Linked DNA regions of Daphnia pulex. The main gene of each other region encodes a partner of the protein of the gene in region 7 in a complex. Links are inferred from orthologs where the notes say so. Each region holds a gene or a part of one and is shown on either strand. Other genes may lie near its edges. The genes, in order: pre-mRNA-splicing factor CWC22 homolog, pleiotropic regulator 1-like, RING-type E3 ubiquitin-protein ligase PPIL2-like, smad nuclear interacting protein 1-like, E3 ubiquitin-protein ligase RNF113A-like, 116 kDa U5 small nuclear ribonucleoprotein component-like and BUD13 homolog.

Region 1 (4,015 bases), on a different chromosome or scaffold from region 7:
AAAATGTAAGTGTTGAAAAATGCTTTACATTGACATAATAGATGAAATAGGCTTTACTTCAGACACGGAAGCATCTTCGCTGGATCCTTTGGAAACACCAGCTACCTCTTTCATGTCAACATCGATGTTTAAGTCAGCAACAGGTCCATAAGATGACACTGACTGATCATTGGTGAGGATAGCAACTGCTTCATTTAGATCATTCTTGGCTAAACGTAAAGCTCGTTTGATTTCTCCGATGTCCGGAAATCCCATGGCCATTAACGTGCTGATATTTTCGTCTTCGACGTCCATGACGTCTTCTCTCCGGCGTTTTAAAATTTTTATTGTTTATCTGAAGAGGAAACAAATACAAAATTAGAACATATCACGATGCACGATGAGTGTATCCCAAGCACTCTGCGCATTTTTTTTTTTGTTTTTTTGTTATCTTACTACGATCACAAGAGGCACGAACTCCTTCGCGGAGCTTTTTGAAATTCTTCTATACACATAGGATAAACTGCATGGAGGAGTGGCAAACAAATGTTAGCGGTAGGCAGGCCCCTTGTCAAATGCGCCCTCCCTATTAAACCGTGGGCGCTGACATCTTTGACATGTTGCCAGCTCATTCATTCCTCTAAACAGTGGTTTCAGACGGATTCGACTTTTAGAAAAAATGCTTAATGATTTTTTACCACATAATTTCAATTGAAAGTATGAAATCTCTTTAACAAATCTTCGTGGCTGCCTGTTTTTATTGTTTCATAGCGGTTAGTAATACCTATTTTAAAACTAGGAACTCGCAGGACTAGCGAAAACATGCGAAAATATTTCAAAAATTGAAATAATTATTCTTTTAACGATCCTTTATAACTCTGATTTCACCAGTAACTATTTTAAAAATTCTACACGAAATACGAAGACCTGAGAAGGCTCAGCGCTTAACGCTGCCACAAAGCTGATAAACAATTTAAACAAGTTATCGAAAAAGTCCAAAAAGTATTTGATGGTTGCTCGCTGCTCGGGGCAGAATATTTATTCAATTATTCCTTTTCCAATAAATTTTAAACAAATTTTCATTAATGAGGAAGTGGTTGATTACAAGAAGATTCTTAATTCTTATTTTTTGTCACGTTTGTCTCTTTGCCTGCCTTTGCGATAAACCCGATAAGGCATAAGGCGACAAGCCGACAACCAATGAAATCGAACAAGCTGCCCAAACGCAGGTGGCGCATTAGTGGTAGAATTGTAAGCAAACGGCAATACCGCAATATGGCAATAGGCATTAAGCCAAGGAAGCAAACGTAAAAAAGCAGTTGTTTCTCAGCGTGTTGCGATTGCAATTTTCTATTCATCCAAACAGTATAACATCTGTTAAGTGATATTTTCAAATTAATTTCCCTTCATCTGTCACAATAATCCTTCAGATGGAAAGTGTCGTCAAAGCTGTTGGTTTACCCGTAAATTTCTTAGAAGAAGTCGACGATGATTTGGAAGATGAACGAGACGAAAAAGCTCCAGCAAAGCCCGATAGCAATATTCGGAAACGACGGTATAGTTCAGAGGAGGAATACAGAAGAGAAAGGTAGACAACTGTACCAAAAGTGTTACAAGTAACAAATTAATTTACTTCATATTCATTTTTTTATCAGGAAAAAAAACTATGAAATAGGCACACGCTATTGGGGAGATGAAGGCCCTAGAGATAACTACACACAACATTCAAGAGAACAAGATCAACATTCAAGAAAAAGAGAAAATCAATTGAAAAAGGATGACAGAAAAACTAGTGAACAAGGTCCTTTAAATGAAGAGGATACTAAAGAGCCTAAGAGAGTTAAAGAAATGGATCCAGTGCTGACACGAACCGGAGGAGCTTACATTCCTCCTGCCAAGTTAAGAATGATGCAAGCCCAAATAACTGACAAGTCAAGCTTAGCTTTTCAGCGTTTATCTTGGGAGGCTCTCAAAAAATCCATTCATGGATTAATCAATAAAGTCAATGTGTCAAATATCCCATTGATTATAACATCCTTGTTCAAAGAAAATATTGTTAGGGGACGTGGTCTTCTAACTAGGTCCATCATTCAGGCACAAGCTGCATCACCAACATTTACACATGTCTATGCAGCCCTTGCTGCATTAATCAATTCCAAAGTATAAACGTGATTTATATTAATTCATGTATTTAATTTAATTCACATCACATTTGTTGATGTTTCAGTTTCCTAACATAGGTGAACTGCTATTATCTCGCCTTATTCTTCAATTTCGCCGTGGGTTTCGTCGAAATGACAAACAAATATGTATGAGTTCGACAAGATTCATAGCACATCTGGTGAACCAACAAGTGGTAATATTGAAATTTTGCTCTCATGTTTTGTTTTTCAAATGCACTGAAAATTTTTCTTGGTATTTTAGGCACATGAGCTTTTGGCTCTAGAAATTTTAACTCTTCTGTTAGAAAATGCAACTGATGATTCAGTTGAAGTCGCGGTTGGATTTTTGAAAGAATGTGGTCAAAAGTTAGGTGAAGTCTCCCCTCGAGGATTAACTGCTGTCTTCGATCGCCTCCGTCATGTTTTACACGAAGCTGACTTAGACAAACGCGTGAAGTACATGATTGAAGTAATGTTTCAAGTACGAAAGGATGGCTTTAAGGACAACCCTGCTATCGTGGAAGATTTGGATTTGGTGGAAGAAGAAGATCAATTCACTCATTTGATGTCGATACAAGAAGAAGAATTGGATCCCCAGGATATGTTGAGTAATAAGTTGCTATTAATGGATTTAAAAAATATCTGTATTCCTCAATCTACCAAGTTAGTTTACTGGGCTTAAATTTTTATTTATTTTTAAAATAATCTTTGACTGTAATGAGCCCCAAGTTCCGTGCTTTTCTTAAACTGTTAATAGTAGATTTTATATGTCTATCTCCACTTTGATACCACTAACTGTTTCGCGTATTTTTGTAGATGTTTTCAAGCACGACCCGGATTATGAAGCCAACGAAGAAAAGTACCAAGCTGTCAAAACAGAAATTATTGGAGATAATTCGGGCGAATCAGACGGTTCTGGAGAAGAAAATGATGAATCTGATGGAGATAGTGCTTCGGAGGAGGAAGCAAAAGGTAAGAATAGCATATACTTTTACTTGGGTCGATTCAATTTGTATGTTTTTAATTTTGTTTTTTTAGAACAAGGCGATATTGTTGACGAGACGGAGACAAACCTTATTGCTCTTCGACGCGTTATTTACCTTACTATTCAGAGCAGTTTAGATCACAATGAATGTGCCCATAAAATGATGAAAATGCAAATGAAACCTGGACAAGAAACTGAGTTATGCCATATGATCTTGGATTGCTGCACCCAACAAAGGACGTATGAAAAATTTTTCGGCCTTTTAGCCCAGGTACGATTTCTTATTAAATAAAAAACTATTCAAGTATATCAATTTTCTTTTCGGTGTATTAGAGATTTTGCCAGATTAATAAGGCATACATACCACCATTCGAGCAAATATTTCATGATACATACGACACAATTCATCGGCTGGATACTAACAAGCTTCGCAATGTAGCCAAAATGTTTGCCCATTTACTTTTCACAGATGCCATCAGTTGGCAAGTGATGGCTAACATTCGACTAACTGAAGAAGATACTACAAGCTCTTCGAGAATATTTCTTAAAATTTTATTTCAAGAAATGGCAGAGTACATGGGTCTCAGCAAGCTAAATCTTCGCCTCAAAGACCCGTCAGTGCACCAACTATTTTTTAAACATCTTGTTTGGTTATACGTCACCAATTTAATTTTTTTAATATTTTCGTTTTAGGACTTTGCAACCGTATTTTGAAGGAGTTTTCCCTCGCGATGATCCTCGCAACACTCGATTTGCCATTAATTTCTTTACTTCCATCGGTCTAGGAGGGTTGACGTAAGTTTTTCTATCTCGTTGATAGATTCTTTAAGATTAATTAATAATTTTGTGTTGCGTTGGATGGGACGTTTCAATTATGTAGAGACGAACT
Region 2 (3,941 bases), on a different chromosome or scaffold from region 7:
GAGAGTCTCCTCCGGTTCCGCCTCGGCTTCTTTCTTAGGCGTATTGACTTGTTGGATCTGATTCATCTCTTCCTTCTCCTTTTTGAGAAGTTCCTCATTTTCTGCTCGGATTTTCTTTAATTGCTCCATTTCTTGCCGGTCAATCTGGCGTTGGGAACGCCGCTTAGGTGAAGGTTGGCGCGTTGATCCACCACCACCACCTATACCCGTCGAAACGCTATCAGAACTATCAACTTCAGAACTCATCGCACTGTCGGCGTTTCTCGAGTTACTAATTGCCGGGCCATGCGCAGCTGAATAACAATGGTCAAGTGAGATGGACGCAACAGCCTCAGTGTCATCCGGAGCTGGATAGAAAAAACAATAATATAATCTAGATACACTTACTACTACTACACAAAGTTATTTGGCAAACCTCCTGTAAGTTCGGGATCAAGCAGGTCATCTAGACCAGCTTCTGGTGGGAGAATATTGTTGAAAAAAGCCCCAGCTTCTGCTTGTAATGCATGCTCAATTTTCTCGATCTCTTCCTGATCAAGAGCTAAGAGTGGATCTGTTGTTTCTAAAACTTGCTCACTAATTTTTGGCCCTGCTTTGACATTTCCATTAACTTGAGCAATTTCCTGGTCAGTTTCCATCAATTCTTCCTCGTTTTCCTTGAGTACAGGGCTAGAGACTGGGTTGAAATCTTCTTCTACAGTTATGTTGACATCAGTACTGCTGTCACCTGCAACATCATTGACTCTAACTACGCTTAGAGTTGTATTCTCTTGAGAGCCTGAAAATAAGGTAAATGAATAAAAACATGATTTCCCTCCAAAATGTGACGACTTACTAAGAAGTTGAAGTGTTTCCTGATCAACTGATATGTCACCAGTGTCATTATCAACAATAATGATTAGTGTGTTTCCAGCAGAGGAGCTATCGTCTGTGGTATCTGCCACAAAAGTACTCGACATGCTGTTGTCGAATTTGTAGCACACTTGTATCTAAATGTCAGTAAACGAGTAATCCAAAACGCGTCACTTATTGACCAGCTCGGAACGGCCCACTATCAAAGTTCAAACCAAAGCCACTAAAAACTTCACCCGATTCTATGGGCAACCACAAGCCCAAAACTTTTTTGTTGACAAACTTTGAAACTCCTGATTGCATCAAAATACACATAAACACCAAGCCGACTCATGGCTAGATGCCGCCATTTTGCGTTTTTTTTATATAAATCAATTTCAATGTGCCATGTTGCCGGCGACGCTTCCAATAGAAGCCATCTGGCGTGAATAATTACATCTTCTGTTAGTCACTAACAGATGGCGATTTGATCAGTACGTTAGACAACGCCGGCAACAATCGAGTACAAACCTCATGTAAATTTTGATTTGGTTTCGTTTTTACAATATAACAACAATCATGGGAGAGGTAAATTTTGCAATTAAAAAAATTATGAACAATTTCTAATTTACAAAATTTCATATCTCTACAGGATATTCAGAAGCATTCCGTGCATACGCTAGTGTTTCGATCACTGAAGAGAACCCACGACATGTTTCTGTCAGAAGAGGGTAGTCTACCTCCTCTTGATCAAAAAGCGTGTGTTGAAATAACTTTACATTGTTTCAACGTATTAAGTAACTCAATTCTATTTGATTATCTAGAGTGTCTGCCTGGCGATCATCAAAAGCTAAAGATACGTATGGTCCAATAGTTGAACTGGTCAGGAAACAACAAGAGATAGCGAAAAAAACAGGGCTTCCGGTAAATTACCCTGGAGGACAGCTTGCTCTAACTAACAAATCTGGTAATTTATTTTCCCCTATATTGATTGGAAATATGTATTTTTAAGTGGAATGTTTATTTTTTTACAGAACAAGATGGAGAGACCAGCCAAGCTTTGGCTCTTATGCCTTCAGGAACAATCGGGGGACATCAGATGCCACAATCTTCAGCAAATGTATCAACTGTTGGTATACCAGGCTATGCTGCAGGTGAGAAAAATATGCAGTCATTGTTTTCCCATCTATTTACTAAAAAAGAATCTTATTAGGTGGACCCACAAACAATACACAATCTTTAATAACCCGTAAAGCCCCAACAATGCCCAAGCCACAGTGGCATCCACCATGGAAACTTTGTCGTGTTATCAGTGGTCATATTGGTTGGGTACGCTGTGTAGCTGTTGATCCTACGAATGAATGGTTTTGCACAGGATCTGCTGACAGAGTTATTAAGGTAATTTATTCCTTACATTTATAAGAGTCAAGTTTTTCATTTTGAAATTCTTATAGATTTGGGATTTGGCCTCTGGACGGCTGAAACTTTCGCTTACAGGCCATGTCAGCACCGTCCGTGCTCTTCAAGTCAGCCCAAGACATCCGTACCTTTTCAGTGCTGGTGAAGATCGACAAGTGAAATGCTGGGATTTGGAGTACAACAAAGTAGCCATCACCATTTCAATTTACCGTGTAAGAAATATTAACAAAATCTTTTTCAGGTTATCCGGCACTACCACGGCCATTTGAGTGCCGTTTATAGTATGGCCCTTCATCCAACCATCGACGTTTTAGTAACTTGTGGTCGTGACTCTACTGCCCGTGTTTGGGACATGCGATCCAAAGCAAACATTCATACCCTAACTGGCCACACCAACACCGTAGCATCAGTTGTTTGTCAAGCAGCCGAACCTCAAGTATTCAAAGCAGTTTTCGACACTCATAATCCAGAATTTTAATTTTACCTTTCGAAACCATAGATTATTACTAGTAGTCATGACAGCACTATTCGATTATGGGATTTGGCGGCTGGCAGATCAATGGCTACTTTGACGAATCACAAGAAAAGTGTCCGGGCAGTGGCAATGCACCCTAACCTGTATGAAGCTAACCCATTATTTCACAACACATTGAATGTACAATTAATTTTAAAAAATTATGTTGCAGCTACATGTTTGCATCCGCCTCGCCGGATAATATCAAACAATGGAAGTGCCCCGAAGGCAAGTTTATTCAGAATCTTTCGGGCCACAATGCCATTCTTAATTGCCTTGCCATCAATGCTGACAACGTAATGGTATCGGGTGCTGATAACGGATCACTCCACTTCTGGGATTTCAAGACTGGATACAATTTCCAGCGCTCACAGGTATAAATGCATTTAGTTGAAACTGTGTTTTGAACGTTTCTTTAACTGTTCCTATTCAAATTTAAGGCCCCCGTGCAACCAGGCTCAATGGATAGTGAAGCTGGAGTATTTGCCATGGCCTTTGACCACAGTGGTTCACGTCTCATAACGGCCGAAGCAGATAAAACTATCAAAATCTACAAAGAGGACGACGAAGCTAATGAAGAGACACACCCCATCAACTGGAAGCCCGACTTATTAAAACGGCGTCGTTATTAACTCGCCATCTCCTGTACCGTACAATACAACTTGATTTTTAAACGATTTGTTGGCGCAAACTTGTATTATTACTTCAGTAATGTGCTGAGTTATTATGCGCTTATGGATTATTTATATTATGGATAGCTCGGGAATCCCAAGCTATCCCGAGTCGGGATAGCTTTAGCTTGTCAATTATATAATCACTGATTTCAGCGTGAATGTTTTAGGCAATCAAATAGTGATGAGGTTCTTAGCAATTTAGAATACCTACTTGAGAATAATTTAGGGTCACTCCTTGTTTGTGATAACGTATTAGCTTTCAACAAGCAGCCAAATGCCACACGTAAAGAACGAGTACATAAAAATCTTCTGGTTTTCAATTCATCCCAAAATGTAGTTAGAAAAAATATTGTTAAAAAATGTTAAGACTAGTCAAAGAAAACCTTTTGCTTCGTTGCATAACATTTAATTATTTAATTTACAAAGCTCACGTTTTCACGCGGTCTTAAATTTTGAAACACTGTATTTTGGCGGGAAAAATGGAAGGGAAACCGAGAACCCTG
Region 3 (4,295 bases), on a different chromosome or scaffold from region 7:
CGTTCGAGATAGCTGGCTGATTGTACCCTCAAGGGTAAATCTTTCAGCGCTTTCGCTAACTAGAAAACAAATCACCAAAAGACATTGATTATTGAACGCGTAATTTAACAAATTATTATTTATCATAAATGTGGTTTGCTTACCGGTTTGTCATCCATCGTGTGTCGTTTTGGCAGACGAGAGGACAATGCTGCGTTGCCGTCGCATATAAAAAAAAGTCAGTAAAATTGTGAACCCTTCCTTCCCCTTTTTCGATTTTTATTTTTAATTGCTACAGAATTATTGAGTAAAAAAAATGACATACAATTTGATAAGAACAAGTGTTCGAGAAAGAGTTTATTTTTAAAAAATCAGCCACAAGTAAGCAAAGAATAATCCAATATCCGGGAAGGTCACCAATTACTGAAATTACCAAATGAATAGTTAGCAGATGTTTTAGCTTTTTTATGTTGAGAACTGCCGGATTCTTCTCCAGCCGAATCAGCTGGTCTATAAAAAAAAATAATAATAAGCTGCAATGAAACTATTTTATTTAATAGAAAATTAAAGATATACTTGTTGGTGAAAGCTTTAGGGTTGATGTATTTTCCTACACCAGATTGTTTGAAAACCTTAAGCTGGGCTTTAGGGATGGAAGCCTTTGCTTCCTTCAACTGTCTCTCAGCTTCTTCTAGCGCTGCGGCTCTCTCAATCACCAACTAAAATGTAAAAACAAAAGTAAATTTTGCTTCTAAGGTTGAATTGATTTTCTCGGCAACCTTTTCGTCTACTTCGGCATATGGGTCTGTAAATATCTGTGACGACTCAATAATAATCTCTTCTACGGGTCGATCTTTATTGTCAGTACCAATTCGTTCCATAGCGCTCAAAGTTTCCATTCCACCCACGACACGACCGAATATTGTGTGCTTTCCGTCCAGATGTTTACACGAGCGATAGGTGATAAAACTGAAAGAGTAATAATCAAATTGATGCGTAATGTATGCATAGAACTAGATAATTTAAACGTACAACTGAGATTTATTAGTGTTGGTTCCCGAGTTCGCCATCGATAAAATACCCCGACCGGTGTGGGATAGATTCGGCTTAAATTCATCTTCAAATGATCCTCCCCAGCAAGACTCTCCTCCGGTACCAGTTCCAGTGGGATCGCCACCTTGAATCTGGAAAATTTTTGTTAGGAAATCTCTGTAACAGCCCGTGATCACGTTGAGATCTACAGTACCATGAAATGCTTGATAGACCGATGAAACTTGGTGTTGTTGTAGTAGCCTTTTTTGCACAGGTTGACGAAATTTTCACACGTTTTAGGTACCATTTCACAATGTAACTCTAAATTAAGAGGCCCGACATTTGTAACTAGTCTAACATAACCTAAGAAATTAAATTGATGAAATAAAAACAAATTTAGATGGTTTGTGAAGAATTCATTACAAGAAACTACTTTAACCTTTTTTCTTAATGCGCTGATATCGAACGATACTTTCATCGAGAATTGCTGGTTCATGCTTAGTTTCTGGTGCCATCACCGTAGAAGTAAAACCAGCAGCGACAGCCCCGGTGGAATAATGAGCCTGATAGTTTTTTTTTGTTTTATAAACAAGTTATAAAAACGAAAATAATAATAAATAAAAGGGATAAATTTAAAACTTTAACTGAATCAAATTACCGCATTAATGGAATCAGCTACTGCTTTTACAGTTACAGTCTCTTCAGGTGCCTTGTATTCCTGTTCTAATTCTGCCAAAACTCCCTTCGTTTCTGCATTGATGTATTTGAGACGGGCTGCAGGATCGGTTTTGGCCCTTATTAATTCTAGTAGAGAGAATCATATTTATGAAAGCAAATCAATTGGCGTTGTTAAGTCTATAATCAATAAGACAACAAATTACCTTCATTTTCGATTTTTTGGTCATGCGTTACATGATAAAATTTAGCGATGTTAAACTTTTCTAGGTGAGATGGGTCTTGAAGAGTGATAATGTCTTGACGAGCAAATGTTTCATCTGTTAACAACTCTTTCCAGTTTTTGGGCTTCAGATTGAGTTGCTCTACTGCCTCATAGGAGAACACATTTCCAGTAGTTCTGATGGCCACAATGTGGGATTTGTCTGTGAACTGCTTGAACAATACAGGGCAATGGTATGCCCCTTCAGCATTTTTATGATAATTTAACCTCAGAAGGGCTTTGCTTTCCAATGGCTAGAAAAATTAAATTCTCATAAACATGCCTTTCTAGTTCAAGTTTATCGGATGAAGCAAACATGCAATACCCATAAGCAAAACTTACTTTTCCTGTTACTGGATTAGTTTTATACTTTTTCAAGTATGGAACTATAGCAAGAAGGTCGAAAACATTTCCTTCAGTGTCACACAAAGGATTCTCAAAAAGCTGAAGTGACAAGGCACAGTGATCATATGGAAGTCGTCGAAATGAAGCACTGGCACTATTTGGATTAACAGGCTTCTTCCCACCATACAATGTGCTCCACTCTGTACTTGTCAAGTACCTAAATATAAGATAGTAAACTAGTTAGTGTTTTCATACTAAACATATCATTCAAATTGAAATATCTTAGAACTTGCATTTTATCTTTCTGGTGTTGTCGTTTTCCCATTTTCAGATAGTTTTCACGCTTTGATGAAGAAAAACAGTATCAAAGTTCTCTGTGAAATACACAAATTAAAATCGAGCAAACTTTTTTCAGTTTATGGAATAGAACGCCAAACGACTAATAAACCGACTTGTTGTTTTGGCACACTGTCTTGAACGTCGTCTGCTTACCCTTCAAGCTTCAACCGCTCGACTTAAACTTTTAAACTTTTTGTCTTTTTATAACGATTATTGAATTGTTCTACCATTTAAAAAAAAATTTTATGTACGAAAAATAACATCCAACGATCACATCATCAAGAATTTCATTGGCCAAATTAAATGATGAAATATTGGTCGTTGGACGTTCAGCCACTAGGGGGCCAGGATCGACCTTCATAAAAGCCTCAAAATGATTCGAGATAAGATAATTAAGAGGAACCATTCAAAGAAGACGGCTAAGCCTAAGCGATATGAAAGTCAACAATGCATAATAATTGCTAGACTCCACTATAGACTAGGCAGCTGACAGCAAACAAAAGATTAAGTGAATAAATTGGTTCTATGGAAATTTCCCTTTCTGTGTATTTTCACACTCGCATTAAACTCGATGGGTGGGTCGACAGTTAATTTTTTTGTTCTAGCTTTCGCTCGTTTCATTCGCGTTTTTTTTAATTAAACCACCCTCAGATCGAATATTTTAGGTAAAAAAAAAGAATGATTCGAAAGACAAAGAAAAAAAAATAGAAATAATTAATGTGGTAGCATAACAAATTTAAGGAGATTTTGTTTAAAATTGATCTTCTTCCTTGTTCGTTTCCTTATAGTTTGCGTCTCTTGTGTTGAGACCTAAACGAAAATTAACAGAGCGTCCTCGTCGCACGAACAAGTCGAGCTGGAAACCTCGTGAGATTCATCCGGACGTCTGAGCCATTTGCCATGGCACTCGACGTTGGTCAGCGATGTCCAGCGTGTAATTCTACCCGGCACTCCGTGACCACCGCAACGGCCTCCCAAATAGTCACGAGTAGCCTTGTGTTCACATCGAACACAGACGACGCCGCCTAAACCACGAAAAGGAATAAAATAAAATAAATGTATCAAAACACAATTTTTGAAAAATGATATTTCCATCCGGATATTATTATTCCGGAAGTCAATTACCGTCAGTAAGAGAGTTGAACACTTTCTCTTTGTGGCAGGCCTTGGACACTTTGGTCAGCTCGAATGTCACGCAGTAACTGAATAAAGACGGAAGTGTTATTGCAACATGTATGCGCCAATTTTCAACGTCCAATTGAAGAGCAATCATTGGTGTCGAAAATTTCTTAAATTTTGTGGCTTGATTGTTTATAGGTATGTATCCTCACTCGTTGGTGGAACCTTCCGGGTGCTCCTGGGCGAGCTCAGCGTTGCGGAAGCGCAGATTCTTGCGGATGTCGTGGCTGTCGTTCATCCGGCGGCTGGCACCAAACGAAGCCGGTAACAGCATAGCCATTTCTGTCCGTGACGTCCAACAATAGAAAAAACAAAAAAAGTTTAAAATGTTAGTTAAGAAAATGTTGGAACAATAGCCGCGGTAACTATTATATGACAGGTATACTCCATTGACAGAATTTTCCGGTTCATTTGTATTCTTGACCCAAACTTATTATGATTTCCCCCTTATTATTCTCGGCCCGTCTGACACCCACAAGATGGA
Region 4 (2,848 bases), on a different chromosome or scaffold from region 7:
AAAGACATTGACCACCCTTCTTGATGTACTCTTCCAGCGGATCGTGCAAGTCATTATCAGACCATCGAGAAGCAAGTACTAGGAGGCTTGTGTTGCTTAGCCAAGCTTTTTTAGAACGAAATGAGAGTTCATCGAGATGGTAAAGGGCATAACTGTCAATCAATGTTACATTGTTTAAGATCAAGAATCCAGATATCAAATGTCTATACTGTTTATATACCAATCCGGCTCTAGTGTGGATTCAAAGAGGGCTCGATATTGCTGAAAAACTTCTTTGTCACTCGTACATATTAGAATGTTGGGCGGTCTTGCTGAGGAGGCCAGCAGTCGTTCCACAGGTCTCATGACACCAGCAATTTTGGTTACCTGTTACCAACTGGTTGTAAAAATTGCTTTAGTTATAAATTTGAATTAACGTGACAACTTACGAATAACATGAACAGCCCCACTGATGTGTGAAACCTGGAAATGAAATGAAAGAACACTTAAAGACGATTGAATACCTTTCGCAGAAACATTAAGTGTATTGCGGCGTTCAAAAAAGAAAATTGTTATGATACAAAACATTGCTGGTCACCAACGTGTCACTGCCCCACTCCCATATCGTCCAAACTAGCATCTGTTTTGCTTTCTTCATGAAGGAGAACATATTCGCGGGAACTGAAGCCAAACTTCACCACATCCTTCTCGAACAATTCGACGTAACGTTTGGATTCAATTTTTTGATTATTTACAAAAGTACCATTGGCTGCTTCCAGATCAATAATATATGGCCGGACAGTACGTCCTGCAGTTCCATCAGGCCGTTCGTAGTTTACCAACCGAAATTGGATCGCAGCGTGCTGTTTCGAGCAAGAGGGATGGTCGATTGGAATATCAGCAACTTTACGATCTCTTCCGATTAAGTAGGCGCTTTGACGGTGAAGGTACAACGTAGGCAATGCCTCTTCCCCTTTAAAGACGTAAAAACGCCACCGTCGCTTGGGAATTCTGGCTTCAGGTGGTTCACTGTATTTGACCACCACACCATTGAAAACATTCTTCTCTTCAGTCAATTTTCCTGATAGACCAAAGTTGGGTTTTTGCTTTTCAACGAGTGTTCCTTCTTCTTCTTCATCTTTAACTTGTTGGCCATACTGGTAGTTGGCTGCTTCAGCATCTTCACTTCGGGGGCTTTTGCGTCTCTGCTTAAAAGGTCTTGGTGGTCGATCTTCTGAATGTGGTTGCTCATGCCGTCTTGAAGGCCCTTCATTGTGTTGTGGACGTCTGAAACTTTGTTCATCATCACTAACTGGTTCTTTCTTGATTTTAACTGGAATTGGTGGGTCATTTCTTCGATTACTTTCTTTGTGTGAAACTTGTGAATCATGTCTCCTGCTGTCTGATTTCCGACTTCTTTCATAGTCATCACTTCTTGAATGGTAATGGTCGCTTCGTGAAGATTTTCGTGGTGGGGAAGAGTCACGTTCTTCACGACGTCTGTGAGTCTTGCCTCTTTCATGGCCTCGTTCGTGGGACCTTTTGGGACTCCTCTCGTCTTCGTTGTGCTTTACCATGGCGATCCAAACGAAATAAAACAAGATATGCACAAGTACTCTCTAATTACCTTAATGTTTCTGGCGTATTTCTCAAAAAAACGAGATCAATTCAATGTTTCAGTTTCAGTTTGATACAACTCGTTTCTCGGCTTGTCAACATGAAATGGTGTCGCAACTCGTAACCGTTGCCAGATTTACTTTCATCCACCACCTGTAAACGGCTAGCCGCTAGCGGTCCGCCGTCCGCGGACCTGCTCTCTGCTGCCTCACTGCCTGCTCTTTAATGTATTTATATTCTCATTTTTTTATGTAATGTTTTAGAAATTGAGTAATGCTTATGTATGCCAAATTGAGAATTTTTGTAATCGATTACAGCATAACATTTTCGAAATCAAAATTATGTTGTTAGAGAAGTATATTTTTCTTTTGCTCGTTGGGTCGTTGTAAAATATTTAAATAAATATTATCAAATATCTGATATTGTAATACATATTTACGTGGATTTAATAATTTTGCATTTGATTTAACGACGAAAACCAAATCGTTAAAATTTGATGTGGCACTCGCTGAGTCGCTGTTGAGTATAAAAAAGGAGGCCACGGTGTCATTCAGTCGTCGCGGTCTTTGTTCGATCCTTTTTGCCGTTGCGTTTTCATTTGTTGTCTGAGCTCTCGCACGATGACAAACCCCGAAAATCCTTCAGTTCCTCCCGAAGTTGTTCCAGAGTGGAACATAAAATTCAATCCTGTAGAAGTGAATGGAGACTTGAAAGAACACTTCACAAACTACGAGCAGCATGGACTGATGAAGAGCGAACCTGGTGGTTTTCTCTTAACGGATGAGTATGCACGCCATGCCAAAGAAATTTCACGTTTTCAACCAAGAAGCGACGACGTTTGGGTAGTAACCTTTCCAAAATGCGGTAAAATCCTTTTTCAATCATTTTTAAGATTTTTTTTATGTAATAGCTACATTTTTATAAAATAATAATTCGTAAAAATAAATATCCTAGTGGTATTTGTTTAGCAATTACTGCTATTACGTCACAATTTATTTCTTTGTCATCAATTTTTTTGGCCGTAGCCTTGAAAGTCTAGTAGCCAAATGGCAACCTTGTATTTCTCCCCGCCTATTTTAAAACACATAGTTTGAAACAAACAAATACAAATCTCTCGGATCTTGAAAGTGTTAACTTTTCGTATTCTCCCGCACATATAAAATTGATAACTTTGAATTTGTTTACTTAGGAACGACGTGGACACAGGAATTAGTGTGGATGATTCTCAACAATTGTGATCCAATTGGATCTA
Region 5 (3,697 bases), on a different chromosome or scaffold from region 7:
GTCAGTAAACGGGCTTCACGGAAAGTTTTCGAGGTTTGCCTCCATTCTTTTTAACTTTTTCCCTGGAATTGATTTTAACTTTTTTTTTCTCTTGTTAAATTTGTCAATAGGCGACAGAGTGGAAAGAAATCCTTTGCTTCCTACTGAGCAATACGGACAAAGACGTGCAATATCGAGGAGCTGTTATCGTCAAAAACATCGCCAGTCATTCGAAAGAGTTGGCCGAAAAGTTGTTGCAACCTGAGGTTATTATGGTCCTGGAAGTTCTCACCAAATTCGGTAAAGAGGATTAAGTTAAAACTTTTGACATGGTGCCTTGAACTAATCTTTTTTGTAACCCATTTGAATCCGCTCTGCACACAGAAACACCTGAAATGGCCAAAATTTGCGACTGCGCCAAATCAACCCTGGAAATCGCCGAGCAATGGAAACTGATCGAGAAGGAGGACGACTCTGAAGATGAGTCTTGATAAATTTTAATGAAATGATTTAAACAAAAATTAAATTGTGTGCCTATGCAAATTCACTCGTTAAAGTTAAATACACTTTATACGTCAATTGAAAGCATTATTTAAAAAAGAAGGAATTACAAAATAATGTATTCTTACACGTGAATGGTAGGGGGAAAAAATAAAGATGATCTTATCCTCAATCGCTGTCATCATCTGAATCCGTATCGTTGGCCACGACTCCTTCGTCTGCGTAGTGAATGTGCTCAATCTCCGTAACGGGCTCCTCCACATCTGCTGTTGCTCCCGTAGGTTTACCAGTAGTGCTGCCAGACGGCTGCATAATCAATTCCAAGTTGTTGAGCTCCTCGTCGCTGTCTGCTTCCTTGTAAGTTTTGCCTTCTTCCTCCAACTTGAGCCGCTCGATGAGGCTCTTTGCCGGGTTAAAGACACCAAAAGTTTGTTTGCCGCAAACAAAACACCGCTGCGATTTGCGGTAATGTTTCAAGGCGCAGGCCTCGCAGAAATAATGCTTACACCTGCCGTGTCAAAATTTGCGTTAAATTCTCCTTCTTATAAATGAATAGGAGAGAGTCTTTATTACTTGGAGACAACGGGATGTTGGAACGACTCGCGACAGATGAAACACTTGAAGGGCAAATCTTCGTCGTCCGAGTGTATTTCATACTTTGAGTCGTCTTCGGCCGGCTCACCTTTTCCCCTTTCTTCTCGCTCCAACTGCCATCCGAATTTATAATCGGAACGGTCGTGCAAGAACTTACAACTGTCTAATAAAACACAGCAAAGCTTTATAAAAGTTCAACTGAATGATGATAATAACCCCAAAAACTTTTGGTTAGATTTTGAATACCTCCGAAACCGCAGAAACCCGTTTCCTTGTAATCTTTACAAAGATCTGGTTGGTAATCCCATCTCACTGTTGACCTGATGTTGGCTGGGGCTCGCATGGGGCCTTTTCTCACATTGGCAGATGCAGCATTTCCTTGGGCTGTATCTCTTTTCTCGTAGTACTGGGCATAGTTAGCAAGGCCACGATATTTCTTGTCATCTGCTTTGCCTTTCAGCTCCTGCTGGACTGTCAAAGAAACAAAACATTATTTTGGTTCATTTTAAATAAAAAAGTTGACCTACTTTGTAAAGATTTCTCAAAAATTGTCCTGGCATCTTGATCGACGGCAGTGTCGATCTGAACTGTGGAAGTGGCAAGATCGTCTTTCTTGTTCTCAGCACTTCTGTCAGACTGGAAGACGACTGTGACCTTTTCCTTGACTTCCTCATCAGAGCTGTTTTGGATTTCTTGACGGGACTTTTTCGTGGATTTGAACTGTCAACCCCAAAAGAAAAAAACACGATGAGAAACACAAATTCTTTTTGCAGAGACTTTCAATAACTCACAGTTTTAGCCGAAAGAAGTCCAGCCGATTCCTTTTTCCCCACTCGAGCAACAACAGTTTCATCTTCGCTGCTGCTTTTCTTGTCATCATCAGCTTTTCTCCTCATGGCGGCTCCTCCTCCTCTTCGTTTCTTGAATGTAAACGTGCAAACTTTATTGTCGTCGGCCATTTTTGTTTGTTTGTGGATTTTCTTGTTGGATCAAGCTTTCCTTTTTTGTATATAAAAATGTATTTTGACTTGTCAACAAACGAGAACAATAAAATAAAAATCCTTCCGTCTTCTCGTCGTCGGCTTTTCAAAAGGATTACCGGTGCACTGTTGTCTGATTCCTCTAATTGGGTTCTTGATGACTGATTGAATACGCAGCAAGGGATCTGCTGCAGATTTACATATATATGCACAGCAACAGAGACTAGTACATAGAGAACTATGCACACACACACACACAAAAGCTTTTATTATTGTGATCCAGATTTGTCATCTACGATGTCGGTATTAATGATCCGACCCCGAAAACCCGCTTGAGACTTTGAATATATCTTAACGTCATCCGTTTCTACTACTACTACTACGGGTTTTGCTATTTTGCATTTGTTTTGGAAAAATAAAATCGACATATCTTATTGCTTTACATCATTATTATTAGGCATCGTCGTCATTTCTTATGGTCTTCTTCTAATCATTTCCATATGCCTTGGTGATTTATTTTCCTTGTGCAAATGAAATGGATGGGGGGAAGAATCACGTTACTTAAAAATCTCTGGCGACTCGATTACACACAGGCAGTACAAAAAGGAGCATCCTTTCATTAATTAGTAGGTTCCCCTCTAATAATCTGGTGGCGTGTATATATGTATAGATGTGCTCGGCGCATCACAGAGTCTGAGGACCTTCTTCTTTCTTCTCCTCGAAATAATAATACGCACTATATACGCTTCTGCTGGCGATCAATTAGAAAAGACTGCCGAAGCTTTTAAGAACCTTTTCGCCACATATGACTGAATAATAATTCTATTTTCTTAATTCCCCTACCCAATTTTTATTAATTTTTTTTTTCTGGGTGGGGCGGCGGCCACTGAACTGTTATCTCCTCTTCGTTCGTCTACTTTTTTCTTTTTGCTGGTTTTTGGGGGCTTGTTCTCCGCGGGCCTCTTTCGTCTTTGCCCGATGTCGCGCTTATTATTTCTATATCATCAGCAGACTGCTAGCTGCTGGGGGCCGTTCGCTTGATGATTCCCTTACAGCGCCTTAATTAGCCCAGCACTTTTCATCAAGTTGAAATAATAAGGAACGCGCAGGCCAGAAAACCCGGCCGCAAAAGTGCACGAAGCGCTTCACCGTCCGATGAAAAGCTACTTGATCTCCATCCTCCGACTCCATTTATACACCTATACTGCACTACAATATCTATACCTATTCATTTAAAACAAAAAATATTTTTATTTCGCCGTACCGTATAAGTAATTTTTCGGTCAAACTTGTCGCTGACTGAAAAGCCCATCTAGCCAAACTTTGACTTCCTCCTCCAGCAGGATTGGCACATTGACTTATTGCAGCACAGTTTTGCAGATATACCGTTTCGTTCTATGCAAAGAGGGGAGGAGGCTATAAATAGGGACTCAATGATAGATACATGTTATGCATAAAGCGAGGGCCTATTTATACAGAAGCTGAATGATCCAGACAAGATATATAATATCCACATGCTACACTACTATACACGTATAAAAGGGGCTTTTGAGAGAAGGGCCAGCACGGCAGCAGGATCAATCCTTTACACAGCACACACAAGTTACGCGCGCGTTCTAATGGGGCTGCTGCCCTTTTATGAA
Region 6 (4,280 bases), on a different chromosome or scaffold from region 7:
ACGCTGTTGTTGTTGTTGTTTGTTCCATCACCAATCGGCCAATGTCTAAACGTTTTCTTTTTGTCTTTTTTTCGCGTCTAGCCAAAATGAATCCCGACCGATGTCTGAGTTGCCGAATTTTATAATTGGGGTGGAGATTGTTGGCTCGACCAATGTCGAGGTCTAATAACATTCCGTCATCACCACGAGACTTGATTAACAATCAATCATTTCGTAAGTCTAATGTGTCCAGGAGTCCAGTGAACTACAATCGCTTCATCCATGTCGAAGGGTATTGTGTAGTAATGAATGCCGTCCAATAATCATTGCGATCCATTAAGCCTTGACTCCCGACAGACTACACCGCCGTGGCAATGCACACCGGACAGTATAGTGACCCCCCCGCAGACACAAAAAAGATGATGGATAGAAATTTAAAAAGAGAAAAACAAAACAAACCAAAAAAAAAAAAAATCTCAGTCAGAGTCTGTCGGGCTATTGATTGGACACCCCCACGGAAAATTCACGCACGAGGAATAAGGAGGAGGAAGTCGATTGCTGCTGTTGGCCAAGTCTAAATGTGTGCAGCGACATTCAACCGGGTACATTCTATCCGCCTACACAATGGATGACATTGCTGCAAACAACAAAAACAGAACAAGCAACTCGAAGCATCGCCGATAACGGTGATTATATCCCGAATAAAAAAAAAAAAAAGAACCATCAACCGAGAACCCATGGACAGAAGGAGAACTCTAGTTGGGCTGGGCTGGGCTGGTCTACATCACCGAATGGCCGGCATTGATTTTGTCGATCTGCCCATATCATCCCAAGTATTTTTTGGGTTTTTTTTTTGTGATTTCCTTTTGGCAACAACAAACCAACAAGCGAATATATAAATCGGGGTCGCTCGTCTGTAGACTCGTCTGCAGATAAAGACGTCTAATATATCTTTCCATACGAGTCGGCAGCAATAAATCATATAAGGGCACTTGCCCATCCAGGGGGCTTCCATCGCCCGGCAAAACTGAAATTCTGCACTGTGTGCGTAGACATCAGACGACTGCTGAGATTTATTCCGTTATTCAATTCAAAAACATGACGGCATTTTACTCCTTATTTCGCCCGCTTTGATTGATATTATCGCCCGTGTTCGACTGACTTTGTTTCTCCTACAAAATGTTTTTTTCCGTCGTGGACCCGACCTGATAGCGACTGACACGTCATCTATATAAATTCACAACTAGATTTCAGTTTCCAGTGCACAAGCAAAAAAACAGCGCCAGAAACATTTCCTTATTCGGGTAGGGAAAACCCCGCCCTCAACGGGATTCCCATTTGCATTTTATTACGCTGTGAATTTTTTTTTTCTCTTTTATTTTATTTTTATTTATTTATTTTTATTTTTATTTATTTTATTCATTTTATTTTATTTTCATTTTTTTTGCCACTCATAATCCACCTGCTAGCTGGTAGATGGCGCTGTTCTTAAATTCAGATTTCATTGGCACCCGCTAGATGTCGCTAGTGTCGCTCGTTTTGAGCGCGTGCAAATCTGTACGCATAGTAAACGCATTTTCTTGAAAGGCCCGGCTTTTCTGAAATTCCCTTTTGAAACAGCTTTATAACTGTGAGTGTTGGGTTAAGCCGAATACCGATCGACAACATCCAAAGTATCTGCCCAATTTACAGACAGCAAACGACTCAGTTGACTGTCAAGAATGGACGCCGATCTCTACGACGAATTCGGCAATTACATTGGACCCGAACTCGAGTCAGATGAAGACGAAAATGAGGAAGGAGACGAGGCTGATCACGATGACGAAGCCGAAGACTATGGTGACAATGATTCCGAAGAGGCCATGGATCAAACGGTGGTTGATGGCGACGCACAGATGGCCATTGTTTTGCATGAAGACAAAAAATACTATCCATCAGCGTTGGAGGTTTACGGACCTGGTGTGGAGACACTGGTGCAGGAAGAAGATGCTCAGCCCTTGACTGAACCCATCATCGCACCTGTCAAACGAAGGAAGTTTCAGGTACCACAAATTGTTTCGCTGCCATATTTCATTTTGTTGATTAACCTGTTTCCACCCATTTTCATTAGGTTGCTGAGCAAGAACTCCCTGAAACCACGTATAACATGGAGTTTTTGGCTGATCTCATGGACTCTGCAGAACTTATTCGTTCAGTGGCCCTTGTTGGTCATTTGCACCATGGCAAGACTTCCTTCATGGATTGTCTGCTCATGCAAACACACCCAGATCTCCAGACGGGAAAACCTGGCAGTGGAGAGGAGAAGCCTGTCAGATACACAGACACACTCTTTACTGAACAAGAGAGAGGTGTTTCCATCAAAGCGACGCCCATTACCGTGGTCATGCCCGACCTGAACGAAAAATCCTTCCTCCTCAACATGTTCGACACACCTGGTAAATTACAGTTTTCCAACTTGCAAAATGGGGGGGAAAAATGTATTTAATCGATTTTGATGTTTCTTAAAGGTCACGTCAACTTCTCAGATGAAGTCACGGCTGCCCTGAGACTTTGCGATGGTATCGTCCTCTTTGTCGACGCTGTCGAGGGTGTCATGCTCAACACGGAACGAATCTTGAAGCACGCCGTCCAGGTAATTAAAAAAAAAAAAAAACTTCAACTTGGTTATTCCAAGAATTTCTTTTTAACCCTGTCCTTTCATAGGAGAAAATGGCCATCACAGTTTGCATCAACAAAATCGATCGACTCATTTTGGAGCTCAAGCTGCCACCTCAGGACGCATATTACAAGTTGCGCTACATCATTGAAGAGATCAACGGTCTTTTGGGCCTGTACAGCGACGAAGAGAATCCAAAATTCGTGTCGCCCTTGTTGGGCAACGTCTGCTTTGCTTCTGCCCAGTTCTCCGTTTGCTTCACCCTTAAATCCTTCGCCAAACTTTACAGTGACACGTACGCACACGTCCACAATGGCAATGACGGTCTTAAATGAAACTTCATTTTCTTTCATTTTAGATACGGATCCGATATCAACGACAACGAGTTAGCACGTCGTCTGTGGGGTGACATTTACTTCAACAGCAAGACGAGAAAGTTCACCAAAAAGCCGCCACATAGCTCGGCTCAGCGAAGTTTCATCGAGTTCATTTTAGAGCCGTTGTACAAAATCTTTGCCCAGGCATGTACCAAGGACAACTTTGCAGTTAATTTGAACAGTTGATTCATTTCCAATATTTTTTGCTTGTTTAGGTTGTGGGAGATTTGGATTCGAGTCTACCGCAGTTGCTGGACGAACTTGGCATTCGCCTGACTGTCGAGGAACAGCGGTTAAACACTCGCCCCTTGTTGAGACTGGTCTGCAGTCGCTACCTGGGCACTTTCAGCGGTATGTCAATTAAAATGTATGTTGAATTGAAGCAACGGTCTTTAAATGTCAATGTTTGACTGGTGTGTGTAGGTTTCGTGGAAATGTGCGTCAAACACGTCCCGTCGCCCGTAACGGCTGCTCGCACCAAAGTGGAACACATTTACACAGGTCCCCTGGAGTCCATCCTGGGCGAAGACATGGTCAACTGTGATCCCAACGGCCAACTGGTTGTCCATACTACCAAACAGTATCCCACAGAGGACTGCACTGGATTCTATGTCCTGGGTCGTGTCCTGAGTGGGACCCTTCACGCTCACCAGAACGTCCGACTCCTGGGTGAAAACTATTCGCTCAATGACGAAGAAGATTCACGTGTGTTGACGATCGGTCGACTTTGGATATACGAGGCCCGTTACAAGATCGAAGTCAATAGAGTAACGGCAGGCAGTTGGGTCTTGATCGAAGGGATCGATGCCTCAGTGGTCAAGACGTCGACCATCGTCCAGGTTCACGTCGACGAGGACTTGTACATTTGCCGACCCTTGAAATTCAACACGCAATCCATCATCAAAATTGCCGTTGAGCCGGTGAATCCCAGCGAATTGCCCAAGATGTTGGACGGTCTGCGTAAGGTTAACAAATCTTACCCGTTGCTCTCGACGCGAGTGGAGGAGTCGGGCGAGCACGTTATTCTTGGAACAGGCGAACTTTACCTGGACTGTGTCATGCACGATCTCAGGAAAATGTACTCGGAAATCGACATTAAAGGTTTGCCATTCATTTCTTCCCAACTGTTAATTCTTCTAATTTAACTAATTCACTTTGGTTTTTCTTGTAGTTGCTGATCCTGTGGTGTCTTTTTGCGAAACGGTCGTGGAAACGTCCTCACTGAAATGTTTTGCCGAAACTCCAAACAAAAAGAATAAAATCACAAT
Region 7 (3,320 bases):
TAGACAACACGGACAACAGGGCACACCTGAAAACGGCCGGCCCACTTCGTGCCGTGACCTTCCTCCCTTCTCTTTCGACACACTCAGCCAAAGCGCCATCTGGCCATAGCGCACTCGACACACTCAACAGAAACGACCCCAACGCCTTTTCTTTCTTTTCTTTTTCTGCTGCTGAACAACAGAAGAAAAATGATTTGAAGGCAGCCAAGGCCGGAAAGGGTGTCATCTTCCGGATAGAATTTTCCGATTCAACCACGACGGACGATTCATGAATAGCCGCACCTCCTCTACAACATGGGTTGGGCAACTTTCACGAACTGCTGGTAGAGTCGCGACTCGGAAAATGTGCAAAGTGTTGACGCCATCCGCATGGAATTTCCTCCGCGCGCCTCTCGTTGAATCTGAAAAAAACCCTGCAATTTTGAATGTTGATGGATGGGCCCCATTCCGTCGAGGTAATAAAAAGGGAAATGTTAAGAACAAGGACAGGCGTCATTGGCTACTAAAAGTAATTGCATGGCTTTATTCAGTCAAGGTAAATTCATCATCGGAATCACATGTCGGATACACTCCATTTGTAGGCTTCCTCCTGAAGGGCCACGGCGTTGTTTTGTTTTTCAAAGTACATCTTCTCGTAGCCAGTCGAGCGGTCAACCCCGTCCCATCTGTAGCCGGGTAGTATACCGAAACGATTGGGAGCAGCAGCAGGGCCCCTGTAGACAGGTCTAGCGGCTTTCCCCTTGCCGTCACCACCGCTCTTGACCTTTTTCTTGGCCATGTAAGCAGCCATGGGATCACCTTCACGATCTTGTTCGCGTAACAACCTTTCCAAATCTTCGTCATCGGCGAAACGAGCCAGCGGTTTGGACATTTCGTGAATGGCTTCGGCAACTTGCGTCGAATGCGTTTCTCCTTGTTTAAGACCCTTGTTCCATTTTTGGTAAGCTTCTTGCAGCTTGGCAATCTTCTCGGCTTTTTCTTTATCAACCTGTTGCTTGGCTTCAATTTGGCGCAGCTTGCCAGCTCGGATGGCAGTCGTGGCGTTCTGCCCAGTGAGTGATTTGTCCATTTTGCGGAAGGCTTCCTCTTCTCTCTTGCGTAATGCATCAGTCTCCTCACGCAAAGCTCTGCCAGTCTGAAGGCCGGCCATCTTTCCATCTAGGGTTTTGGTCAGTTTCTCCGAAGCTCCTCCGCTGCGTGATGTTGATTTATTAGGACGCTCAGGGCTGAGGTCTCCGTCTGGATCTGGTTTGATGCGCATTTGGGCACCGGAATCAACGTTTTTCTTCCGCCGCGGAGGACTGAGATCACCGTCAGCATTTTGATGCTTTCTTGGTGGACTCTGGTCGGAATCGGAGCCTTTACGCCTTCTTAATGGACTTTGGTCCGAGTCTGAATCGTGTCGCTTTCGTTGTGGGCTTTGATCCGAGTCTTTCCTTGTTCTTCGAGGAGGACTAGCATCTGAGTCTGAATCGTGACGTTTTCGTGGTGGGCTTTGATCAGAGTCTTTTCTCGTTCTTCTAAGTGGAGATGGATCAGAGTCTGAATCATGGCGCTTTCTTCTAGGTGGGCTGGCATCTGAATCAGAATCGTGTCTTCTACGTGGAGGACTGGGATCTGAATCTGAATCATGTCTTTCTTTCTTCACTGTGATTGGTCGTTTCAAGGCAGTGGAATCTTTCCTTGGTAAGTGACTGTCACTTGAATCAATATCTCGATCACTTGATTTAGACATGGATTTTGGTTTGTCATTTTCATCCACACCAAGTCTCTTCCACTTTGAACTTTCCACAAAGTCTTGTTTGGTTATCATTTCTATGGAACGATTATCGACAACCCCAGCCACCAGAGGAGCATCTTCTTGGTTGTCAATTTGGTCTTCATCTTTCTCGTATCCTGCAGCTATCTTCCTCAAATCTATTTCTTCATCAACGATCTTGATGCCCCTAATAAGTAAATGAAAACAAATTGACTAGATTAAGAAAAAGCTTAAGTTAAAATTAAAAAATGATGTGTATTGTCTAAAGTTCACAAAAAGCCTGACTTACCCTTTGGCTTTCAGTAAGGGCCTGAGTTTCTTTTTCTTGACTTTATTTTCTTCTTTTTTCGAAGAGGACATGTACTTTTTCAGATATTCTAATTTGCTCATAGGAGCACTCATTTTTACAATAATTTCAGGGGAATATTTACAAACCGTAATCCCTCGCGTTTGTCAACGCTTTCACACGAAATATGAATACAAGCTCCACCTATGGTTAACGCGTGAAACTATACACCATCTATCGGGAAGTTTTCAAAATAAAAAAAATTGTTTAAAAAAAATAGATTTATGTAATAGCGATTTTAAAGAAATGTATTCATTGCCTATGGCGTTTACATTTTTTACAAGAGTCACCCGTCAGTTAAGCATGCGACCTGTCTTGTGTTAAACCACAAGCAACCGATGGTCTGGTTGGCTTGTCAAATCACCTTAGTTACTGTCCAGGTATTTGCGTGCCGCTGCATATGGAACACGCAATCTCGAACCCGACTTTCTACCCGCACTTCCCGTGCTTTCATTGTCATATTTTCAGCTATTTAATAACCTGTTTCTTTTCAAACCGTCGTTATTATTTGAGGTACAGTAAACGAGAACGGAAGGGTGTGGAGAAGTGATCGCAGCGAAACGATGGCGCAAAAACCCAACTGGATTTTAATTTGCACGGCTTCTGTAATTTGTCTTATCATAGGTATCGTAATCATTTGAAATGTTACTGTATGTGTTGGTTTGACTTCATCTTTCCACCTGACAAAGGAATTCTCATCGGTCGTTACGCTATCGGAAATGATAGGGACGACGTGTCGCCTCAGAAGGCGAAAATGTCTGCCACTTTGATGGAGGAGCTCAGTGCATCAAATATTGGCGAATATCTCAAGTAAGTCCAACATCATCGCTAATCAAAAGACAAATTTGATTCATTGTCTAATTAACTCCCAAAATGATTGTCACAGATATTTGAGCAGTATACCGAATTTAGCTGGAACTCCACAGGATTTGGAAGTGGCTAGTTGGGTGCGCGATCGTTTCGTCGAGGGAGGATTAGACGAAGTCCAATTGGTTCCTTACAAGGTGCTGCTTTCCTACCCAGACATGAGCAACCCCAATCAGGTCTCGCTACTCGACTCCAACGGCAAGGTGAACTTCACCACCTCAGGACGTCAGACGCCACTCTTTTCCAGCGAAGAATTCTCTCCGTTAGTTCAACCCAATTTTAACGCTTATTCAGCTAACGGAACTGTCGAGGTGAAATTAAATTTCTATCGTTGTTTTATTGATGACA

The links.
Region 1: BUD13 homolog (region 7) and pre-mRNA-splicing factor CWC22 homolog share a complex: the UniProt entries of both Homo sapiens proteins name them as parts of the minor spliceosome. The link is inferred for Daphnia pulex from reciprocal best matches to the Homo sapiens genes BUD13 and CWC22.
Region 2: BUD13 homolog (region 7) and pleiotropic regulator 1-like share a complex: the UniProt entries of both Homo sapiens proteins name them as parts of the minor spliceosome. The link is inferred for Daphnia pulex from reciprocal best matches to the Homo sapiens genes BUD13 and PLRG1.
Region 3: BUD13 homolog (region 7) and RING-type E3 ubiquitin-protein ligase PPIL2-like share a complex: the UniProt entries of both Homo sapiens proteins name them as parts of the minor spliceosome. The link is inferred for Daphnia pulex from reciprocal best matches to the Homo sapiens genes BUD13 and PPIL2.
Region 4: BUD13 homolog (region 7) and smad nuclear interacting protein 1-like share a complex: the UniProt entries of both Homo sapiens proteins name them as parts of the minor spliceosome. The link is inferred for Daphnia pulex from reciprocal best matches to the Homo sapiens genes BUD13 and SNIP1.
Region 5: BUD13 homolog (region 7) and E3 ubiquitin-protein ligase RNF113A-like share a complex: the UniProt entries of both Homo sapiens proteins name them as parts of the minor spliceosome. The link is inferred for Daphnia pulex from reciprocal best matches to the Homo sapiens genes BUD13 and RNF113A.
Region 6: BUD13 homolog (region 7) and 116 kDa U5 small nuclear ribonucleoprotein component-like share a complex: the UniProt entries of both Homo sapiens proteins name them as parts of the minor spliceosome. The link is inferred for Daphnia pulex from reciprocal best matches to the Homo sapiens genes BUD13 and EFTUD2.

The regions. Positions count from the first base shown.
Region 1 is NC_060018.1:7,249,499-7,253,513, forward strand, and holds the start of pre-mRNA-splicing factor CWC22 homolog, read left to right. Parts: upstream 1-1,215; 5' UTR 1,216-1,344; exon of another isoform or gene 1,345-1,409; coding exon 1,410-1,567; intron 1,568-1,634; coding exon 1,635-2,139; intron 2,140-2,206; coding exon 2,207-2,335; intron 2,336-2,403; coding exon 2,404-2,749; intron 2,750-2,957; coding exon 2,958-3,397; intron 3,398-3,459; coding exon 3,460-3,740; intron 3,741-3,819; coding exon 3,820-3,921; intron 3,922-4,006; coding exon 4,007-4,015. Other genes in the region: ubiquitin carboxyl-terminal hydrolase 24-like, read right to left, coding at 58-294. UniProt on the Homo sapiens protein: Required for pre-mRNA splicing as component of the spliceosome. As a component of the minor spliceosome, involved in the splicing of U12-type introns in pre-mRNAs. Promotes exon-junction complex (EJC) assembly.
Region 2 is NC_060021.1:1,388,871-1,392,811, reverse strand, and holds pleiotropic regulator 1-like, read left to right. Parts: upstream 1-1,293; 5' UTR 1,294-1,410; coding exon 1,411-1,419; intron 1,420-1,483; coding exon 1,484-1,590; intron 1,591-1,655; coding exon 1,656-1,798; intron 1,799-1,865; coding exon 1,866-1,985; intron 1,986-2,044; coding exon 2,045-2,229; intron 2,230-2,285; coding exon 2,286-2,435; intron 2,436-2,491; coding exon 2,492-2,686; intron 2,687-2,749; coding exon 2,750-2,868; intron 2,869-2,936; coding exon 2,937-3,138; intron 3,139-3,204; coding exon 3,205-3,396; 3' UTR 3,397-3,441; downstream 3,442-3,941. Other genes in the region: death-inducer obliterator 1-like, read right to left, coding at 1-347, 416-778, 836-959. UniProt on the Homo sapiens protein: Involved in pre-mRNA splicing as component of the spliceosome. Component of the PRP19-CDC5L complex that forms an integral part of the spliceosome and is required for activating pre-mRNA splicing.
Region 3 is NC_060022.1:781,495-785,789, reverse strand, and holds RING-type E3 ubiquitin-protein ligase PPIL2-like, read right to left. Parts: upstream 2,801-4,295; 5' UTR 2,619-2,800; coding exon 2,587-2,618; intron 2,511-2,586; coding exon 2,291-2,510; intron 2,203-2,290; coding exon 1,893-2,202; intron 1,816-1,892; coding exon 1,670-1,815; intron 1,575-1,669; coding exon 1,451-1,574; intron 1,375-1,450; coding exon 1,226-1,374; intron 1,164-1,225; coding exon 1,012-1,163; intron 949-1,011; coding exon 759-948; intron 699-758; coding exon 556-698; intron 490-555; coding exon 393-489; 3' UTR 322-392; downstream 1-321. Other genes in the region: eIF-2-alpha kinase activator GCN1-like, read right to left, coding at 1-59, 144-158; somatomedin-B and thrombospondin type-1 domain-containing protein-like, read right to left, coding at 3,443-3,657, 3,758-3,834, 3,964-4,093. UniProt on the Homo sapiens protein: Has a ubiquitin-protein ligase activity acting as an E3 ubiquitin protein ligase or as an ubiquitin-ubiquitin ligase promoting elongation of ubiquitin chains on substrates.
Region 4 is NC_060018.1:419,648-422,495, forward strand, and holds smad nuclear interacting protein 1-like, read right to left. Parts: upstream 1,613-2,848; 5' UTR 1,557-1,612; coding exon 585-1,556; 3' UTR 501-584; downstream 1-500. Other genes in the region: biotin--protein ligase-like, read right to left, coding at 1-152, 221-366, 429-437; sulfotransferase 1B1-like, read left to right, coding at 2,217-2,460, 2,786-2,848. UniProt on the Homo sapiens protein: Required for pre-mRNA splicing as component of the spliceosome. As a component of the minor spliceosome, involved in the splicing of U12-type introns in pre-mRNAs. Down-regulates NF-kappa-B signaling by competing with RELA for CREBBP/EP300 binding.
Region 5 is NC_060022.1:4,929,451-4,933,147, forward strand, and holds E3 ubiquitin-protein ligase RNF113A-like, read right to left. Parts: upstream 2,258-3,697; 5' UTR 2,034-2,257; coding exon 1,866-2,033; intron 1,795-1,865; coding exon 1,602-1,794; intron 1,546-1,601; coding exon 1,321-1,545; intron 1,238-1,320; coding exon 1,054-1,237; intron 989-1,053; coding exon 649-988; 3' UTR 501-648; downstream 1-500. Other genes in the region: protein unc-45 homolog B-like, read left to right, coding at 1-33, 111-279, 364-470. UniProt on the Homo sapiens protein: Required for pre-mRNA splicing as component of the spliceosome. As a component of the minor spliceosome, involved in the splicing of U12-type introns in pre-mRNAs. E3 ubiquitin-protein ligase that catalyzes the transfer of ubiquitin onto target proteins.
Region 6 is NC_060028.1:8,367,501-8,371,780, forward strand, and holds the start of 116 kDa U5 small nuclear ribonucleoprotein component-like, read left to right. Parts: upstream 1-1,480; 5' UTR 1,481-1,700; coding exon 1,701-2,021; intron 2,022-2,089; coding exon 2,090-2,414; intron 2,415-2,486; coding exon 2,487-2,611; intron 2,612-2,682; coding exon 2,683-2,930; intron 2,931-2,993; coding exon 2,994-3,156; intron 3,157-3,227; coding exon 3,228-3,363; intron 3,364-3,435; coding exon 3,436-4,113; intron 4,114-4,183; coding exon 4,184-4,280. UniProt on the Homo sapiens protein: Required for pre-mRNA splicing as component of the spliceosome, including pre-catalytic, catalytic and post-catalytic spliceosomal complexes. Component of the U5 snRNP and the U4/U6-U5 tri-snRNP complex, a building block of the spliceosome.
Region 7 is NC_060019.1:12,606,623-12,609,942, reverse strand, and holds BUD13 homolog, read right to left. Parts: upstream 2,185-3,320; 5' UTR 2,162-2,184; coding exon 2,049-2,161; intron 1,947-2,048; coding exon 554-1,946; 3' UTR 501-553; downstream 1-500. Other genes in the region: glutamate carboxypeptidase 2-like, read left to right, coding at 2,669-2,729, 2,795-2,915, 2,992-3,283. UniProt on the Homo sapiens protein: Involved in pre-mRNA splicing as component of the activated spliceosome. As a component of the minor spliceosome, involved in the splicing of U12-type introns in pre-mRNAs.